Linked DNA regions of Arabidopsis thaliana. The protein of the gene in region 1 purifies or fractionates together with the protein of each later gene. This does not show direct contact. Each region holds a gene or a part of one and is shown in the gene's direction. Other genes may lie near its edges.

The links. Proteins that work in one complex are often made in the same cells at the same time.
Region 2: the proteins of AT5G25754 (region 1) and AT4G19006 fractionate together in Arabidopsis thaliana (co-fractionation; one large-scale study listed by BioGRID). This does not show direct contact.
Region 3: the proteins of AT5G25754 (region 1) and AT2G32730 fractionate together in Arabidopsis thaliana (co-fractionation; one large-scale study listed by BioGRID). This does not show direct contact.

The regions. Positions count from the first base shown.
Region 1 is NC_003076.8:8,950,032-8,958,800, forward strand, and holds AT5G25754 (RNA polymerase I-associated factor PAF67), read left to right. Parts: upstream 1-3,343; 5' UTR 3,344-3,532; coding exon 3,533-3,886; intron 3,887-4,017; coding exon 4,018-4,997; intron 4,998-5,088; coding exon 5,089-5,182; intron 5,183-5,274; coding exon 5,275-5,346; intron 5,347-5,435; coding exon 5,436-5,480; 3' UTR 5,481-7,308; downstream 7,309-8,769. Other genes in the region: AT5G25640 (Rhomboid-related intramembrane serine protease family protein), read right to left, coding at 1-26, 109-275, 368-408, 497-582, 688-812, 891-1,092; AT5G25750 (uncharacterized protein), read left to right, coding at 853-919, 964-1,112.
Region 2 is NC_003075.7:10,408,636-10,413,314, reverse strand, and holds AT4G19006 (Proteasome component (PCI) domain protein), read left to right. Parts: upstream 1-1,847; 5' UTR 1,848-1,967; coding exon 1,968-2,117; intron 2,118-2,420; coding exon 2,421-2,867; intron 2,868-3,061; coding exon 3,062-3,142; intron 3,143-3,235; coding exon 3,236-3,432; intron 3,433-3,521; coding exon 3,522-3,966; 3' UTR 3,967-4,167; downstream 4,168-4,679. Other genes in the region: AT4G19010 (AMP-dependent synthetase and ligase family protein), read left to right, coding at 1-161, 389-578, 862-1,007, 1,085-1,152, 1,284-1,386, 1,475-1,600. UniProt on the Arabidopsis thaliana protein: Acts as a regulatory subunit of the 26S proteasome which is involved in the ATP-dependent degradation of ubiquitinated proteins.
Region 3 is NC_003071.7:13,878,393-13,885,970, forward strand, and holds AT2G32730 (26S proteasome regulatory complex, non-ATPase subcomplex, Rpn2/Psmd1 subunit), read left to right. Parts: upstream 1-1,566; 5' UTR 1,567-1,796; coding exon 1,797-1,942; intron 1,943-2,450; coding exon 2,451-2,520; intron 2,521-2,748; coding exon 2,749-2,854; intron 2,855-3,162; coding exon 3,163-3,271; intron 3,272-3,347; coding exon 3,348-3,516; intron 3,517-3,848; coding exon 3,849-4,309; intron 4,310-4,418; coding exon 4,419-4,554; intron 4,555-4,660; coding exon 4,661-4,909; intron 4,910-4,994; coding exon 4,995-5,215; intron 5,216-5,306; coding exon 5,307-5,565; intron 5,566-5,684; coding exon 5,685-5,917; intron 5,918-5,995; coding exon 5,996-6,515; intron 6,516-6,736; coding exon 6,737-7,072; 3' UTR 7,073-7,344; downstream 7,345-7,578. UniProt on the Arabidopsis thaliana protein: Acts as a regulatory subunit of the 26 proteasome which is involved in the ATP-dependent degradation of ubiquitinated proteins.

The DNA.
Region 1 (8,769 bases):
AGAAATTTGCTCCAACCCCGAGACATCTAACAAAACAGTTTTAAAAGAAGTCCTGATGATAGATTTACAAGCACTTGAAACAAGGAGAGAAGAGAACTAGAGTACTACCTTGACAAGGACACTGATCACAAATAACCCGAAAACAGCTCCCGAGGCTCCAGAAAAAAATGAATTTGGCGGTAAAGTGAACCAAGAAACCATGTTAGCTCCAACACCAGTAAACAAGTAAGACAACCACAAACCAAAGTTTCCTTTCTCTTCTTCAACAATCTTTCCTGTTAACCACAGAACCATTCCCATTGTCTTATTAACTCCGAATCGATAAACTAGATAGAGTCAAAACTATGAGAAAATCTTGAACTCTCACCAAAGATGTACAAGAGAAAAAGATTGCTGGACAGATGGTTCCTAGAATCATAGATATATATAAGCCAGAGAAAAACGTTAACATCAGCCAGAGAAAGAACTTAGCAAAAAGTAAGCAGAGAGCTCTCACCAGTTAGCATGACAGAATGTTGCAGTCACAAACTGGTACCATACCGGAAAATCGCTAGACAAATACATCGATTTGATCCCGCGAACCTATATCGAATAAATAACTTTTTTCTAAACGTATGATACCAATGTGAAAAACACCTAACAAACCAATGCTTCACACTAAAAAAAGAAAAAAAATCCTACAAGTACCTGATAGAAGTGTTGAGCTATAAATATGGCAAGATTGATAAGTATGATCAAGAATATTCCATTTGCTTGGTTTAGTGGTTTCTGTTTGTCTTGTGCTTTATCCAATTCAAATTGTGGTGTGACGTCTGGAAAATTTTCTTGGACTTTTACAAGTGTAAAGGAAACATGATGGAAAAATCGAATTCGAGGTTAAAAAATCTCACCGGATTCGCTGGAACGAGATCTGACGAAGGTGAGAGGACGAAAGACGGTGGAGTTAGTTGAGTTGAGATAGAGGGGAGAGTTGGTTGGCGAAGAAGCTACACTGCGGCGATGTAATGACGGTAATCTGGAACGAAGAGAAGAAGAATGTGGGAGGGAGAGATAGTGACGGTGAAGCTGAAGGTGAAGGTGAAGCTGAGACATTTGAGAACTCAAATCTTTGATCAGACTTGGACTTGCTTCTTCAAAAATATGCGTTGACTGAAGTTGTTGTATGCTTTAAGACAATGATTTTATTAATTAAAAGTAAGATCTAACAGATTATAGAAATCAAAAAGTAAGCTCAACAACTACATCCACTTACTTCTGCGTATGCTTAGTGGCATTGGTAAACCAATGAGAGTAACATAGACAAACTAGCGACAGAATTCTATAGCAAAGACTACTCACAAAGGCTCGGTTTAGAGACCGTTCTTCAGTTTTTTTACAAGGATATTTTGTCAATCTATCAATCGTTTCATCTACCTTGCATTCACTGGACAGCTAGTATGTTCCTTACACGAAAAGTTTTGTCTCGTCATTTTTACGAGGACTTTTTAACGTCTTGATCCATAGATGCCGAAGGAAATTTGCTGAGAAGCCAAACTAAAACAACCCCAACAAGAGCACCAGAGAGATGCGCAATGTGATTAACAGTTTGTAAAGAGTATCCACCATATATAGTTCCTGATAATCCAGCCGACGCCTGAGCTGCTTCCATTACCTATTCAGATCAATTAACTAAACAGTTATCGTCCCTGAATTCGAAGAGCTTCTATATTGCATACATCATCAGACATTTTCTCTCATATATTGTATAAAAACCTCATTATACTCATAAGAAGATGGGACTGTAAGCCGGAATACGGTTATAACGGTAGTGATGCTGTGAGTAAATTTTGAGAAAATCTTACCCTCTCAATAACGAACTGACCCAATATAAGAACTTCAAGGATTTTCCTCCAATCCCAAGACATCTAGACAATCAAAAGAAGTTGAATATTAGCAAGATATTACTGAGGAGTTTGATTTACAAGGAGAGAAGAAAACTACAGTACCTTGACGAGGACACTGATAGCAAATAACCCAAAAACAGCTCCCGAGGCACCAACAGAAACAGCATTTCTCGGTAAAACTAACCAAGAAACAAGGTTAGCTCCAACACCAGTGAACAAGTAGGAGAGCCACAAACCAAAGTTTCCTTCTTCTTCTTCAACAAGCTTTCCTGATTCCCAAATGTGTCCATTAGCTCTCTGAATCGATAAACTAGCTAGAAATTCAAACTATGAGAAAATCTTGAACTCTCACCAAATATGTACAAGAAAAAAAGATTGCTGGAGAGATGGTTCCTAGAATCATACATGATACATAAAAAAAAAACCAAGAATCAGGAGAAACATCAACATAAGCCACAGAGAAAAAAACTATCATAAGTGTTGTTCGTTTGGTAGTCACAGGATGCCTGCGACTGCGACTGAAAGTTGATCGTTTGACAGTCGCAAGATCCTGCAACTAATCGCGCGATCAATCGCTGCGGCTTGCGACTGAATTTTTTGATCGCATGAAAAAAGAGCGACGCGGCTTTTTAAATGGCGATTAATCGCAGCGATTGGTAAACGAACAACATCCTGCGATTTTAAAATCGCAATCGCAATCGCAGCCACAGCCACAGCCGCTAGCGATTATGAAACGAACAGTGCCAAAGTAAAAAAGAAAGAAGAGAGCTCTCTCACCAGTTAGCATGACAGAATGTAGCCGTCACAAACTGATACCATGCCGGAAAATTGTGATACAAATACAAAGATTTGATCCCACGAACCTAAATCGAATAAACAATATAAAACGTATGATAAGATAAGCACGTCACAATCCAAAGAGATGGGATTACACGAATAACGTTTTACAGTGTAGATGATTGATATCTAAAGACAAGCTTTCATACCTGAAAGAAGTGATCAGCAAGATATATGCCCAGATTGATAAGTATGATCCAAAATATGCCATTTGCTCGCTTTTGTGGTTTTCGATTGTCTTTTGCTTTATCCAATTCAAATTGTGGCGTAATATCTGCAAAACTTACAATGATTTCGTTGAAGATGAAGAAGATGTTGCTAAGAATCTAATACAATCACTTGGAATGTTTCATTAGATCGAAAAAAAGAAAGAAAAAACGATAAGTCTCACCGGATTGGCTGAATCTGCAAGTTATTTGAGATCTAGAGACTGTGAGAGGACGAAACTGCAGGGGGGGTTGAGTTGAGTTAGTTGGCGACGAAGCTGCACGTCGGCGATGTAAAGGCGGGAATCTGAAACGAAGAGATGATTGTGGAAGAGAGAGACGGTGAAGGTGAAGAAGCTGAGACATTGAGATTTGAGAGAGAGTCAGAGTACACAAAATTAATTTCGATTCAGTTTTGGTCTAATTCGGTAAAATAGATAAACAACCGAAAAATAAATCGAGATATAAACAAACCGGTGGTAATCGTTCATTTAGTAGTAAAAGCAAACCGGAGGATAGACCCGGTGGTAATAAGGAAACCCTAGGCGGTGGAAGTGAGTTGAAGAGTTAACATTGTTGCGGCCGCTAAGAATTGATCCGGCGAGAATGGCGAGCAGCAATGAGTACGAGGAAGGTCCAGGGGAGAGGGAGAGTGGGTACGACCCGAATATGGTGCCGGATTCGGTGAAATCGTTCGTGTCACACATGTACAGACACATAAGGGACAAGAACGTGTACGAGATCCACCAGATGTGTGAGACATCGTTCCAGAGCATATCGGAGCGTCTGTTCAAGGACACGCCGTGGCCAAGTGTGGAAGCGATTGCTCCTTACGTAGACAACGACCATGTGTTCTGTCTTCTGTACCGTGAGATGTGGTTTCGACATTTGTATGCGAGGTTGTCTCCGACGTTGAAGCAGAGGATTGATTCTTATGACAACTATTGCAGCCTCTTTCAGGTCTGTTGTGGAATTCTTCTACTTCTTCTTCCTTGTTAGATAGAGATGTTGTTGATTTTGATTTCTTTTGTGTATGTATTGGCTGGGAATAAATACAAGTAAGTAGACCTTCTTCCGTTTGTTCTTTCTAGGTTGTGTTGCACGGCGTAGTGAATATGCAGTTGCCGAACCAGTGGTTGTGGGATATGGTGGATGAGTTTGTCTACCAGTTCCAAAGTTTCTGTCAATTCAGAGCAAAGCTCAAGAACAAAACAGAGGAGGAGATTGCATTGCTCAGACAGCACGATAAGGCCTGGAATGTCTATGGCGTGCTCAACTTCTTGCAAGCACTTGTGGAGAAGTCTTGTATCATCCAGATCCTTGAGCATGACAAGGATGGCCTTGAGTTCACTGAGACTGATGGCTACGATTTCAGCGGTGGCAGCAACGTCTTGAAGGTCCTCGGTTACTTCAGCATGGTCGGTCTCTTGCGTGTTCACTGCCTCCTCGGTGACTACCACACTGCTCTCAAATGGTTGCAGCCCATTGACATCACTCAGCCAGGTGTTTACACCAGTGTCATTGGTTGCCATATCGCTACTATCTACCACTATGGATTTGCCACCCTTATGTTGCGGAGGTATGTCGATGCTGTTCGTGAGTTCAACAAGATTCTCCTCTACATTTTCAAGACTAAGCAGTACCATCAAAAGTCACCTCAGTACGAGCAATTACTCAAGAAGAATGAGCAGATGTACGCTTTGCTTGCTCTCTCCCTCTCCCTCTGCCCTCAAACTAAACTCGTTGACGAGTCTGTCAACTCTCAGCTGCGAGACAAGTATGGTGAAAAGATGATGAGGATGCTGAGGTCTGACGACGAGGCCTTTGGTATTTATGATGAGCTCTTCTCTTACGCATGCCCCAAGTTTATCACCCCTTCCGCACCACCAACTTTCGAGGAACCTCTTGTCAATTACAATCAGGATGCATACAGGCTTCAGCTGAAGATGTTCCTTTACGAGGTAAAGCAGCAGCAGCTCTTGTCGGGAGTGCGGACTTTCCTGAAAGTCTACTCCTCCATTTCTCTTGCTAAGCTCGCAAACTACATGGAAGTTGATGAGCCCACTCTAAGGTCAGGGACTAACTATGGGCATTCTTATAACTATTATTACCAAATCTACTTCTCTCTTTTTCTTTGACATGTACGGGGTTTTAATTTGCAGGACCATATTGTTAACATACAAGCACAAGACCCATTCAGTTGATTCCGATGGTAGGATCATCTCCAATGCAGACATTGATTTCTTCATCAACAACGTATGTTCTTTCTTCTCTCTCTGTCTTTCTGATATCGATACTCTGGTGCTTTTACAACGTTTGTAACAACTCTAAACCTGGTGACACTGCAGGACATGATCTACGTTGTCGAATCAAAACCCGCAAAACGTTATGGTGATTTCTTCTTGCGGCAGATTGCCAAGGTATGTTGTATAAACTGAAACTAAGACTCGTGCACATCAACTCTTGTTTTGATTTTTGGGTCTTTTTCTTTTTTTCCTCCATTGCGCAGCTTGAAGGTGTGATCAACGACATGGATCGTGTCAAGCTGGAATGACGACTTTTCTGTGTTATACCTAATCATCAATGCCCAATCTGATATGATGCTTTCTCTTATAAACCATATGTTTACTTAAAGCCAAACACTTTTTTGAGTAGCTGTCTTCATGTGGTCAAATGATAACCATAAATCATCTTTCTTATGGATTATTGCTAGTTTTTTTTATTGAGTATGGCACTGAAGATTATAACCAATCTCGAGTTTCTTTCGAATTGCTAGTTCAAAAACATTGAAAGTATTCAAGGTTATGAAAATTTTAAGTCACCACTACTTGCCAACAGAATGGTTTTAAAGTCAAAGTAGAATAAATTGCTATTTGACTTTTATGTATCATAGTAACTACAGGTCTGTTCTTCGTTCTTGCTGATTACAGAATACACAGGAGTTAATCTTTTTCATCATCTTCCAAAACTATTCGACGTATACATGGTGATAAGTATCAAGCCACCAAACTCTGATTAACTTATCGCCGATCAATGTACAAACCAAAGGAGACGCCTAACATATCATCTTGGTTAGCTCATCATCTACCATTCTCACGCAGAAGCTTCTACATCAATCAGCATAAAGAATCTCTAAACAATGAGATCATCTATATAAGCAGCAATCCCCACTTGCATCTATTGCAGATATTATTCTTTTTCTTCTAGCATCTCGTCACACGTGCATATTTCTCCCGCACATGTGCTCTCTTATCACATGGTTCCCCTGCTGGATTGCTTCACCTTCAAGTCATACGAATACGTTGTTTTCTTTTGAAACGTTGCGGCAACAAAGCAACCGTACGCTTGTGTCTCCCGGGGATGTCTTCGAGCTTGGTGATAATAGGTTTTTAGGGTATCAATTCCTAAAACACTATCATATCGTTGTAATACTTAAGGTTGTCAATCCAATCTGGTGTGATGCAAACAGATGAGATATAATCAGAATTTACTAAGTCAAGCCAAGCAGAGAGTTGTCAGTTTCTAATAATCTTAATGTCGATTAACATAAATGAAATGAAACTAAAATGTGAAATGGCAATAGCAAGTAGATGAATAACAAAGCAGATGAGATAACAGACAATCAAATGGATAAAAGATTCCTAAGGATGAAGTAATCGAATAGCGTGATCTCCTTAATCTATTAAGATGGTTGATAAAACTTCACATAAGTTATCCCTACAACAAGTTCAGTAACAGATTAATTCACTACCGTGATAGAAATCCTCAAGTAAAGCTAGACACTGACCTAATCACCATTAGCGATCTCTAACTAAGCAGGCAATATCAAATCAACTTGTTAAAGCCAATACACGCTCTAAATGGCAATTGCCTTGGGATATAGACGAGTATCACTGCAATTAGTAGATCCGACATTCCATCGAACACTTTTTGAGTGCGGGAATGTCATGATTCATGTTCGAGTTGATCAGAAAGAAACAAGCAATAAGCGCAACTAATCCAGAAGAGATTCAAATATTCTAGACTCAACCAATGAAATTGGACATGGTGGATTTGGTAAAAGTCTATAAGGACCGTTAATATTGAGATTTTGAAATGTGAAAAAGTAACCGTCAATATTGAAAAAGACGATAAGATTCGGATTGAGATTTTGTCAAAAATAGTTTGATTCGTGAAAGATTTAAATTCGAACGCAAATTGTTTACCGGCCAATTTAAAATATTTTTGATTTTCATTAATTTTTATGTTAAATTTTAAAATAGAATAATTATAATAAAAATAAAATTTTAAATTTCTAGACACCATAAACAAATATGTTAATAAAATTATTTTTATCCAAAATTATAAAACTAATGTCATATAATCTAAAGATTAATAATCAATTGAGATGGTAAAGTAAAATTGGAATTTTATTTTTGTTGTGGGATCGAAAATAACAACATTTAATTATTTGGGTATTAAATTGCACATTTTTATTACTTTATTTTTTCCCAACCCAAAATTGGGAATTAAACGTCCAAATAAAAATTAGTTAAAATTTTTTTTGGGTTTTTTCCCTTTTAGAAAAGGTTTTTTTACCCCATTTTTATTCGAGATGCTTGACAATTTCATAATTGTTTAATTATTTATATATGTCAAAGTTTTCTAAAGAAGGAAAAAAATCAGAAATGCTATTAGAACATATTAGAGCAAAATATGTAAAAAAAATTGAAAGAACAAGAGCAATTAAGGGGGAAAAAACAAAAATATAATTGCATATTGTGGAATTAAGGAAATGAAAAGGAATGGAATTTAATTTAGATCATGAGATGTGTCAAATAATACTTATCATATTAGTTTTTTTTTACTAATATTTCGATCCACATGTGAACATGTGAGAGCAAAACATTATTTTATCTTTTTTTGTAAAGATAATAATCAACCAATGGAAAAGGGGATAAAAAACAAATTAAAGCAATTGGTATTTTTTTTTGCTAAACATGTCATATATAAAACGAATTAAATTGTATAGTGTGGATTATAAAATTTCGCTAAAGAGTTGTAGATATTTTAAAAGATACGCATAAACGGAATTAAGTAATGGAGTTTGCAAGAACAAAGAGGATGTTGTGGAGATTTTTTCTTAAACAATTACGTCTAAGCAAGCAATGGAACTATGGAAGGAGTAAAGAAAGCAAAAGAAAGCGAGTAACCAAATGAAAATCGTAAGCAAACAACGAAACAAGTAGAGAAGTTCATGTAAGAAATAGTGACGACGAAAGTAAAAAAGAAAAAGAAAAACCAGAGGATCAGGAAACAAGCAAACGAGTGTGTAAAGAAATTGATTGAAACAACTAAGTAAGCGAGTATCCAAGAAGAAGGCTGCCCAATGAAGTAAAGTAAATCAAGGAACCAAGAAGGAAACAAACAAACAAGTCAAGCAACGATCAAATAATCAATGAAACAAAGAAGGAATAAAGTGAACAAGTTAAACATGTAAGCAATCAGTGCAAGAAACAAGCAAGCACGTTACAAACTGAGATAAGCACAAGAAACAAACAAGAACAAGTTATTAACAAATGTACTAAAGTAGCAAGCAATGACCTAATCAATAAATCAAGAAAGCAAATATATATGCATGTGTATGCATGTATGAATGTATAAAATGTATGCATGTATGGATGTATGCATGAATGCATGTATGGATGTATGGATGTATGCATGAATGCATGTATGGATGTATGCATGAATGCATGTATGGATGTATGCATGAATGCATGTATGGATGTATGCATGAATGCACCGATATTTTGTTTTGGGATGCAGATTTTCCGGGTTCGTGAAACTGGATGTGGAAGAGGCTG
Region 2 (4,679 bases), on another chromosome or scaffold:
CGGTTGTTCCACCTATGTTGATGGCATTGACAAAGAAGGCAAAAGGAGTTTGTGGTGAAGTGTTTAAAAGTTTGAAGCAAGTTTCTTCTGGAGCAGCTCCTTTGAGTAGGAAGTTCATTGAAGATTTCCTTCAGACTCTTCCTCATGTCGATTTGATTCAGGTCTCTGAATTTTACTTTTGGATGTCGTTTTAGAAAACTGAATTAAATGTTATTCATTCATAAACTCAATAAGAAGTAGAATCTACATTTTTTAGAAAAATTTGACATCTCTTCCCAAAAGAAACAACTAAAATTGATTTAACGAGGCCATGACTTTTTGACTCACACTATTATTTTCTTTACATTTAGCTGAAAGTGTGTATAAAATGGATCACATTTTGTTGCAGGGATATGGAATGACTGAATCAACTGCAGTTGGAACACGGGGCTTCAACTCGGAAAAGCTTAGTAGGTATTCTTCTGTGGGACTACTGGCTCCTAATATGCAAGCCAAGGTAGTAGATTGGAGCTCTGGTTCTTTCCTTCCACCAGGAAACCGAGGAGAGCTCTGGATACAAGGTCCCGGTGTCATGAAAGGTAGATAGATTCTTCCTACTGTACTTCTTTACCAAAATAGTTGAGATTTTCCTTCTCAGTTCATGAATAAAGTCTTTTGTCAATGGTTCAAATCACTGAGAAACACTTGCATCCTAATAAATGTAAATATAGATTGGATCTTCCAACTTTCGTGGGGCTTATTTGGTGCTTGTGTTGATAGATTAGGCTTATTATCTTGTTCTTGATTTTGTGCTACATATTTTTATGGAACAGTTTTAATTTTACTTGGAGAGAATCTGAACACCGTTCATTTGTCTGTCAGGATACTTGAATAACCCAAAAGCAACTCAGATGAGTATAGTTGAAGATAGTTGGCTACGTACTGGGGATATTGCTTATTTTGATGAAGATGGTTACTTGTTTATTGTTGACCGTATTAAGGAGATTATAAAGTACAAAGGCTTTCAGGTAAAGGAACAGCAGTTTCTCTTTCAGCCAACTCTAAATTAGGAAATATTAATTCTTTGCATTTATGGTTTTTGCAGATCGCTCCAGCAGATTTGGAGGCTGTTCTTGTTTCACATCCCTTGATTATCGACGCTGCAGTAACAGCGTAAGTTCGAAAAAACAAATCTTGATCATTTACTAAACTAGTTTAATAAGTGAAAGATACTGCAAATCCAGTTTTGGAGAATTCGACAGAGTCTGTTACTCTACTGAAAGTATCCAAACTTTCCATTTCAGTGCCCCAAATGAAGAATGTGGAGAGATTCCGGTAGCATTCGTTGTCCGGAGACAAGAAACAACACTTTCAGAAGAAGATGTAATAAGCTATGTAGCTTCTCAGGTTAGGTTCCCACTAATTCAAAATGGCTTTTCCCATTTCAAAACACTGATCATTAATGTAATACATTATTATACATTACGTGTTCTAGGTTGCACCCTACAGGAAGGTGAGGAAAGTGGTGATGGTCAACTCTATACCAAAATCTCCAACTGGGAAGATATTGAGAAAGGAACTAAAGAGAATTCTTACAAACTCTGTTTCTTCAAGACTATGATTCTTTCTTCATTTGTTTGGTAATAAGTAGCAGACAGAGAGATCCACTAATATAGCCTTCATAACTCAATTCATTGGTTTTGTAGCATCAAAAGAAATAAACAGACACATTCTTTGATTCTCAGTGAATAAAGCATTGTAACCCAATACGGAAACAAAAATTCTTTCTGAGCCCAAAATGTAATTTTAGCCTTAGTATTTTATTTACATAAAAGTCCTTTTAATCGTTGGCTATTGCATTTATCGCCCAATACTTGTCTTTGAGCTCAAGAAATATAGTTTACTAAAAGGCTGGGTTTTTCTGGATTTCTTACTCCCAAACCGATACAAGATCGAAGCTTTGCCTTCTGTTTCTTCGAAAATCTACCATGGCTGCTCTACAATACCTTGAATCGCAGAAAAATGCGCACCCAGAGCTTGGTGAGTGGTACAATTCGCTCGCAGATCTGTACCAGAAGAAGCTCTGGCATCAGCTCACTCTTAAGCTCGAGCAGTTCATCGCTCTCTCTGTCTTTCAGGTCAATCTCTTGAATTTTCATCGTTTCGTAGTTCTTCTGTGTGATTAGGGTTCATAGATCTCGAGAAAGTTAATAGGAGTCGTCATGTTAGACTTGGGTTTATAGAGAGATCTGAAGGATTCGTTCCGACTCTTAGGTGATTTTTCAGATTCATTGAAAAGCTTTGTATTGGTGAATTATCGCACTTCTGTGACCAAAGCTTTCGAATATTTTAGCTCAGAGATACCCAAAAACTCAGCTTTACAAGGTTTACAGATTTGTTAATGACGTGTTTCCCCCTGTTTATGTTCATAATCTTTGCAGGCTGGAGATGCTTTAATACAGCTTTACAACAATTTCATCACTGACTTTGAGACGAGGATCAATCTTCTGAAGCTTGCGCATTTCGCTGTTGTAGTCTCCCGACAGTATCCTGAGAAAGAAGCTGCAGTTAGTTATCTTGAAGGAGTGATTGAGAAGCTTAAAGCTACTAAAGAGTCAAGGATAAATGAACCAATTAGCTATATAGAAACACAAATAGCTTTGTTCAAGCTTGAGCAAGGTGACCAGAAGGAGTGCAAGAAAATCTTGGACGATGGAAAAAGCCTGCTTGATAGTATGACTGACATTGATCCATCAGTTTATGCCAACTTCTTTTGGGTCTCTTCTCAGTACCATAAAGTCCGTCAAGAGTTCTCTGAGTTCTATAAAAATGCTCTTCTTTACCTCGCTTATACGTCTGTGGACTCACTCTCGGAATCATTTAAGCTGGTACGTCCCTCTGAATGTTCTAATCATTCATATATGATATATGTAGTCGTTACGTTACCAAATGGTCTTTTAGCAATTTTGGATAAGTATTAGCACTCTATGAAAGGAAACTTACAGTGAAAAATGCTTTATCTCTGTAAATTGCTTTGTGTTCCAATCAAAATGTTAATATCATATACTTTCGTTTCTTTCAGGATTTGGCTTTTGATTTGTCGCTTTCAGCTCTACTTGGGGAGAATATCTATAACTTTGGGGAACTGTTAGCCCATCCAATTGTAAGTTTCCCTTCATCCTCCAAATTAGCAAACCACAGATTTATTCACCATTATAGATAAAAGAACACTGACATGTTATATATGTTATGGCAGTTGAAAAGTCTGCTTGGAACAAATGTGGAATGGCTTTACCACATTCTACAAGCATTCAACCACGGAGATTTAGTTCAGTACCAAGAACTCTGTCGTGTGCACAATGCATCGTTGAGTGCTCAACCAGCACTGGTTGAGAATGAGAAGAAACTATTAGAGAAGATCAACATTCTCTGCCTTATTGAGATCATTTTCAGGTATTCATTCTCTGTAGGAGTCATCTTATACCCATATACAGATGAAAACAAACTTAGTACTTAACTTGTATATAACATCTTTGCCACAGCCGACCTGCTGAAGATAGGACCATACCTTTGAGTGTCATTGCCGAGCGTACTAAACTTTCAATCGAAGATGTTGAGCACCTTCTCATGAAGAGCTTATCGGTGAGTACCTTTTTCTTTCCTCTCTCTTTCTCTCTATCTCATTCTATCAGTAACATTAAAAATCTAAAGAAGATTGGCAAGACGCAGACTCGAAATCTTCTTGAATGTGTGATTCTGTATTGGTTGATTGTGAAAACTGAGGAGAATGAGTTATTGCAGGTGCACTTGATAGAGGGAATACTAGATCAGGTGAATGGAACAGTTTACGTCTCATGGGCGCAACCGAGGGTGTTAGGAATACCGCAGATCAAGTCATTGAGGGATCAGCTAGACAGCTGGGTCGATAAGGTTCACACCACATTGTTATCTGTTGAGGCCGAGACACCTGATCTTGTTGCAGCTTAAACTCTTCTTTCCTCTTTTTTCCTTCACTGTTCGTTTAAGCTACAGATTGTAACATTCTCTGAGGATTAAATGCAACTTCCTTTTAAGTTTTTAGGTATTACAGTTATACTTTTGAACTTTGTTCTCCACAGACACATGAATCTATCCTATTAAGTTGAGTTTCATCGTTAGTGTTGCCTTTAAGGCTTAAGCCTATTTGCATAACAAATGGTCCAACTTTTGTTATTAGACGTGTGAAAAACTCATAAATCTCAAATAGTGGAATGAATCCAAATTGTCAACTTCTGAAATGAAAAGTGTAAGGGTAAAATAGTCAAAACATATTAAACCCCAATTATCACCATCGTTTCGTTTCAATCAAAATTTTCCGATTTTGAGATTTTGAAACAGAGCAGTCAAGTCTCAAAGACTCCAGCTCATCTGTCTGCTTCGTAAGCTGCTCGCTCTCTAAATGTTTTGTCTTCTGGGGAATAGATTTTAGGGATCATCGGTAGATGCTGTTGGATTGACATAATCCAGATCTGATTTCTTCTACAAAAACATAGCTTTCTTCTCTGGGAACAATAGATTTTGATTGTTGTTTCTGGGTTTTAGATTTCTAATGTTGGGGTTTTGGTGATTCGATTTCTCAATAATGCTTCAAAATCGAAAATTGAATCGGTTAGAGCTATTTTGGGAATCTCTTTGCGTTAATTCGAATTAGCATATTTGCA
Region 3 (7,578 bases), on another chromosome or scaffold:
CTTGATTATGCTCTGAAACTTCTGAAAGAGTGAAGATCTTTGCTTCGTCTCCCATTGTTTGTTTGATTCTTGTCTACCAGAATTAACCCACCAAAACCTGACTCTGAGACTTAAAGCTCAAAACTTTATACAAGAGTGTGAGAGAGAGTTGTTGAGTTAAAGACCATTTGACGAATCAGTTAAATTCCGGTTTAATTTGGTTCGTTCTCAAAGTAATCGGTTGGTGAGTTTTGGAAGCTTTGAAAACCGGTTTAATGAAAATTGATTTTGAGTTTGTTCTCACATAGTCTGTACCTAATTGCTGCTCTACTGTTTTGGCCTTATGGTATTCATCTGTACGATTTTGAAAACATATGTGCCAATGTTGAACCGATGGGTTAAGTGGTTTGGTAGTAGTTGTTATTTCCGGTTGAGTGGATGGGGTAGGTAGGTAGGCAGTGCAAATGTTGCGGTTGTGCGCTCTAATTCTGCCTTTTTCATTCAAGATCGGTAGGTGAATGATGTGCAATAAATTTTATTATGGTACATATGAATTCTTTTCTCATAAGTAATATTTATGTAGTTTTATATTAGTAGATACAACTACATAAGAAAAATAAATTGCCGCTGCTTCATACCAACTGACCTTATTTATTAGGGACACAAATCTTTTTCTTTCTAAAGCTTATATAAAATGTACATATTATTCAAAATCAATAGATTGACCGGTGAATTTCTGACCTTGTAAACGAAAAGAGGTCTGAGAAGTTTCAAATTTGAACCATCGACAATGAAAAAAATACATTAGCCATGTTCTCTAGAGAAAAACAAGCAGGTTAACCAAAAGATTAGAACCATCATTTTCTTTATGTTTTTTAGTACCAAATAATGTTATTAAAAGAAAAAGTTATACTTTTAGGACCACCAAATCTTTTTCAATACTAAAAATTGTTGCTTTGAAAATATTAAATACAATTTACACATTAAAAAAAACTAATATATATATAATTTTAAAATGAACAATAAATATAAATAACTAAAATCGTGTTTGTTTGTTCATACACTATTTTCATTGAACTTCTGATACGATAAACAGATAACTAAAAAAAAAATTGAATGCATATGTTTTTGAATTACATCTTGAAATGATTTATAAGCTAAATAACTAGATGACTTTGTTACATAATCGAGCTAATGGTCGACCACACCATCATCATAGTTTACGCTTACCATTTCGTGTAATGAGCTGAATCGATTTATGATAATTTTGTTTATAAAATTTGATTAACCGACTGTAAGTTTATTAATTTCTCTATGATGCCTTGCATATCTCTATAAAGCTTTGTATTATGTTCTGAATTGCAACACATTTTATTGATATGATATGATGATAATTTAGCAATTAGGGTATCCTAAAAGCTCCTAAAACTTAAAATTGTATGACCAACCAATTTTGTAAAAGCAATAAGGAGTTTTTGTAAATCTTCAAAATATATTGGATCCATAACTCAATAACACAAAACTTGAGACTAAAATCATAATAAAGCTATACATTCGGGGCAGTTTTTAATATCCTGACTTGTTGGGTAAGTCTCTAAATATTCGTAGTTTGCATCCAAGTCCCTGACTTACTATCTTCTCCCAAATCTCCTTTTATTTTTACTTTCGTCCTATAAACTAAAATAAATAAGGAAAACACTCTTCTTCAAATCCAGTAGAGAGATTCAAGACGAGTCTCATCGAAAGTTCGAATCTTTCGTCATCTGATTAGCTTTCTCTTAGGGTTTATTTCGATTTCGATTTAGTGTTCTCCATCAATGGCGACACCCATGGTTAGTTCCGCTGGAGGATTACTAGCAATGCTCAACGAGCCTCATCCTGTTTTGAAGCTTCATGCGCTCTCTAACCTCAACAATTTGGTTGACCAATTCTGGCCTGAGATCTCCACTAGTGTCCCCATCATGTAATTCTCTTTTAAACCCTTTTTTTCCGGTTTGAGATTTAGGGTTTTGTTCTCTCACTTGATCTGTTTTTTTATTCGGGATATTCTAGAGAAGATTGTGGGATTTGGATTGTTTGAGCTGTGGTTGTGTGTAGGTCTTCTCGATTTGGGTATTAAAGTTCAAAATTTTGAGTGAGGGATTGATAGTTTGTGGCGATGCAGATTCAATGGGTAGGATAAGAAAAGTAAAGTTTTTTATTTTACATGACTAGCTTTAGCAAGTTCTGTAGTGATCTTTATAGATTATGAATGAGTAATTGTATCTAACTTCTTCCTGGACATGATTATGTTCTTTTACTCATGTAATGTAAAGGCTTGGATTCGTTTTGGTTTATCATCGTACATTCTAGTGGTATAGATTCCAGTTGTAGAGGCTGTGCTGGCGCAATGCTTAGGGTTTTATGATAATCTCTCTTTAATGATTTGCACTACTTGACAGCTTGACTCGAGAGAATTTTTTTTTTTACAGTGAGAGTTTATATGAAGATGAAGAATTCGATCTGCATCAAAGACAGCTTGCTGCTTTGCTGGTCTCTAAGGTGCGATTTCACGATTGTTAAACTTAAGTTTTGTCTAGTTGCGGATAATATTTGCTATATGTTAGTGGAGGAATGTTTAATTGTTGCTCTGAATACATTATGGTTATTTTTCTCCTTAAGAGCTGGTGGATAGTGGTAGAATTTTGGGACGTAGCCTTTTTCTAATCACGTTATATGTTTGTTTTACAAGATATGGGTTTCTTGATGATCGTGGTTGTTTTATCGCAGGTTTTCTATTACTTGGGCGAGCTTAATGATTCGCTGTCTTATGCCCTAGGAGCCGGTCCCTTATTTGATGTTTCAGAGGATTCTGATTATGTTCATACGCTTCTGGGTGAGGATTGAGAAGTTTGTTGATGTTTTTACTCTCTTCATGCTGTTCTCTGTCTGTAGACTCTAGCTAGGGTAACTGTTTAATGCAAATTGCTTACCAAATCAACTTGTCTCAACTCTCAAGGCAAGAAAAGCCTATATAGCCTGCACGACTTATTATCTTAAAAGTAGACTTGAAGCTTGTACATCCAGATATTGTTCTGCCTTTAAGTAGTATAATACTAGAAAAAGACAGATAAGTTGACTATTTGAGTTTTAATAAATGCTGGATGAATGTATACTCATCAGATGCTTCTTTTAAAATTTCAGCCAAAGCAATAGACGAATATGCCAGTCTCAGATCAAAGGCAGTTGAGTCAAATGAGATGGTGGACATTGATCCCAGGCTAGAGGCGATTGTTGAAAGAATGCTTGGAAAGTATGCAATGCTTATACATTTAATGCTCTTGTTTTCATAGTGCTTCAATTCTTCTTACATGGTTTTCCTTCTGCAGATGCATCAGTGATGGGAAGTATCAACAAGCCATGGGCATTGCGATAGAATGCCGGAGATTGGATAAGTTGGAAGAAGCTATCATTAAGAGCGATAATGTTCAGGGAACTTTATCATATTGCATCAATGTTTCTCATTCCTTTGTCAACCGCAGAGAGTACAGACATGAGGTGAGACTGATGTTCTTAGACAATAGTTAAGTAGAAAGGTGTTCTAATTCTATCGACTGATTAGAACTGTATAGTTTTGCCTCATCTGGAAGATAATGTGACCATTTAGTTTCTATGTTGCATCTTCCATTACCATGCCTGCAAACATGTATGCTAGCATCCTCTATGTCCTAAGCTGTAGCCAAAAGTCCTGTTTCAGTTTTCGTGATACCTATCTGAGATGTGTCAAGGCCTGAATTAAAAAAATCTCCCTTTTCTAGGTCTTTTAGTCTAGGCTGTTTAGTTTAGTCTTTATTTAAAAAAGGTGATGACATACTTGTCTACTCTTTCAGGTGCTTAGTTTACTTGTAAAAGTCTACCAGAAGCTGCCCTCTCCTGATTATTTGAGCATTTGTCAATGCCTCATGTTTTTGGATGAACCGCAAGGTGTTGCAAGCATATTGGAGAAGCTTCTTCGCTCAGAGAACAAGGATGATGCTTTATTGGCATTGCAAATTGCATTTGATCTTGTAGAGAACGAGCACCAGGCCTTTCTCTTGAGTGTTAGAGATCGCCTTCCAGCTCCCAAAACACGTGCTGTAGAAGCAACTCAGGCTGTTGAAACAACTATTGCTCCTAATGAGAACCCTTCGGGAGATGTTCAGATGGCAGATGAAACTCCAGCTCAGACAATTGTGCATGAGACGGATCCAGTTGATGCTACATATGCTGAGAGGTTAACAAAGATTAAGGGAATTTTATCTGGAGAGACATCTATTCAGCTGACACTGCAGTTTCTTTACAGCCACAACAAGTAAGTTACTGTTGCAGTTTTGATATCTTCAAGGGATATTTTTTCTTCTAAAAATCGTTTATTCCAGGAAGTAATCATTTGCTCCATTGATAATTTTGTCTTTCTGTAGATCGGACCTGCTGATACTGAAGACAATCAAACAGTCTGTAGAGATGCGGAACAGTGTATGCCACAGTGCTACAATATATGCTAATGCCATTATGCATGCTGGAACTACAGTGGACACTTTCCTTAGAGAGAATTTGGTAAATTATTTACTTTCACTCAAATATTTCTGTATGTTTGAGTTTAACTGTCTGTGTGGCTTAGTGTATTTAACTTTCTTTCATCATTCTTTTTTTTTAATGCCAGGATTGGCTAAGCAGGGCAACCAATTGGGCTAAGTTCAGTGCTACCGCGGGATTAGGTGTTATTCACAGAGGTCACCTGCAACAGGGTAGGTCATTGATGGCTCCATACTTGCCTCAGGGAGGAGCAGGTGGTGGTGGGAGTCCTTATTCCGAAGGAGGTGCTTTATATGCTCTTGGCCTTATTCATGCTAACCATGGCGAGGGAATCAAGCAATTTCTACGTGATAGCCTACGCAGCACTAATGTTGAGGTGATTAATTAATATCTTACTTCAATATAGTCTCTCATATTCCCTGGCAGCCTAATTAATACTTATTGGAAAAATATGGATGCAGGTCATTCAACATGGAGCTTGTTTAGGTCTTGGCTTGTCAGCTCTCGGGACAGCTGATGAAGAGATATATGATGATGTCAAAAGCGTGCTTTATACTGACAGTGCAGTTGCTGGTGAAGCTGCTGGCATCAGCATGGGTTTATTATTGGTTGGAACTGCTACTGAAAAGGCAAGTGAGATGCTCGCTTATGCTCATGAGACACAACATGAGAAGATAATAAGGTAATGTACAGTAAGGATATTTTTGGTTAAGAGGGGTGCATTTTGTCTTGCTTTAGTATTTCACTAATCAACATCCGGAATGCGTTTTTAGGGGATTGGCTCTAGGAATAGCTCTTACAGTATATGGTAGAGAAGAAGGAGCAGATACCTTGATTGAGCAGATGACGAGAGATCAGGATCCAATCATTCGTTATGGTGGCATGTACGCATTGGCATTGGCTTACAGTGGAACCGCAAACAACAAGGCAATTCGACAATTGCTGCACTTTGCTGTATCTGATGTCAGTGATGATGTTAGGAGGACTGCCGTTCTGGCACTTGGATTTGTCTTGTACTCTGATCCAGAGCAGGTCAGTTTCTGATGCTCCTTTTCTGTGACCACTGACTTCCATTTCTTTAGCGCTTCCAGTACTTTTGTGAGCGCTTACATTCCCTAACGGTTTACAATGTTTTTTTTTCTAAATTGTAGACTCCCCGTATTGTATCACTGCTTTCTGAGTCATACAATCCACATGTTCGCTATGGTGCGGCTCTTGCAGTGGGTATTTCTTGTGCAGGCACTGGCCTCAGCGAAGCGATATCCTTGTTGGAGCCACTTACATCAGATGTTGTTGACTTTGTTCGTCAAGGTGCTTTGATTGCAATGGCCATGGTGATGGTTCAAATTAGCGAAGCTAGCGATTCTCGTGTTGGAGTATTTAGGTTAGTATAAATCTGGTTTCTTCAGCATTGGGAGGTAGAGAATATCTTGGTAGACTGAGATTTTTCTATGTTTTGTAGGCGCCAACTTGAGAAGATTATACTTGACAAGCACGAAGATACAATGAGCAAGATGGGAGCGATTCTGGCCTCTGGTATCCTTGATGCTGGTGGTAGGAACGTTACTATAAGACTGCTCTCTAAGACCAAACATGACAAAGTCACTGCTGTTATCGGCCTTGCAGTCTTCAGCCAGTTTTGGTATTGGTACCCACTGATCTATTTCATTAGTTTGGCCTTCTCACCAACCGCTTTCATCGGTTTGAACTATGACCTTAAGGTCCCAAAGTTTGAGTTCATGTCACATGCAAAACCGTCTTTATTTGAGTACCCAAAACCCACCACGGTTCCTACAGCCAATACCGCCGTTAAACTTCCAACCGCTGTTCTCTCAACTTCAGTTAAAGCCAAAGCTAGGGCTAAGAAAGAAGCAGAGCAAAAAGCTATTGCTGAGAAAACATCTGGCCCTGAAAAGCCTGTCAATGAAAGTGGATCTGGAAAAGGAAAAGCATCAACTGAGAAGGAAGGAGACTCTATGCAGGTAATGTTGTCATTTCTAGCCTCTTCTAATAGCTTCTGTTATTGATTACCTGATTAGTCCTTTAATCGCTAGAATTCTAAGGTTTATTCTGTTTTACAATCACACACGTTAGACATTTTGAATTTCAAAGTTGGTGAATTCTAAAGGAATGTTTAATCTGGGTGTTTATTGTGTGTTTGGACCATCTGTGATTTGATAGTCTTGTCTCCACGAACTGTCAGGTCGATAGCCCAGCAGCGGTCGAGAAGAAAGCACCTGAGCCTGAGCCAGCGTTTGAGATTTTAGTGAACCCAGCTCGAGTAGTCCCAGCTCAAGAGAAATACATAAAGTTACTTGATGACAGCAGATATGTACCAGTGAAGCTAGCACCGTCAGGTTTCGTTCTTCTCAAAGACTTGCGTGAACACGAGCCAGAGGTTCTCTCTCTGACCGACGCACCAACTTCAACAGCTTCTCCTGCAACTGGTACAGCAGCGGCTGCACAAGGAACCCCGGCCTCAGCTATGGCCGTAGATGATGAGCCACAACCTCCACAAGCCTTTGAATACGCTTCATGATTTTATTTCATTTAAAATTAGTGGGAATTTGTTGTTGGTTTTATTGGTTTCTGTTGAAAGACAAAAGGCAGAGAGAAAAACAGATCTTTGAACTTTGAGATAACTGCTTCTTGTCATTTGCAACTGGTTTCATGTTCAACTACGATCTTGTATTAGGTACTTCTCTTTTTAAGTATTATCTAAATAATTAAGTGTCGTTTTATGTCTTTTAGTGGTACTGGTATATCTGATTTCTTCTACAACAAGATAGTAATAAACTACATTTTCTAAGTATTATCTAAATCCTTTTTAACCTCTATGTTTATATCCAAACACTTTGCTTAGGTTTGTTAACTTCTATAGTCATAATTGAAAAGTCTCTAGGGTCTTTGTTTTTCCTATTTTCTTTGTCAAAAGTGTATAGGGTCTTTTAAAACATTTGAGGTTTTACAAGTCTTACGTGTTTCATTATGTAATAGCACTAACCATTTATATATACATTTTTGCAGTCACTTTGTGAAATAAAT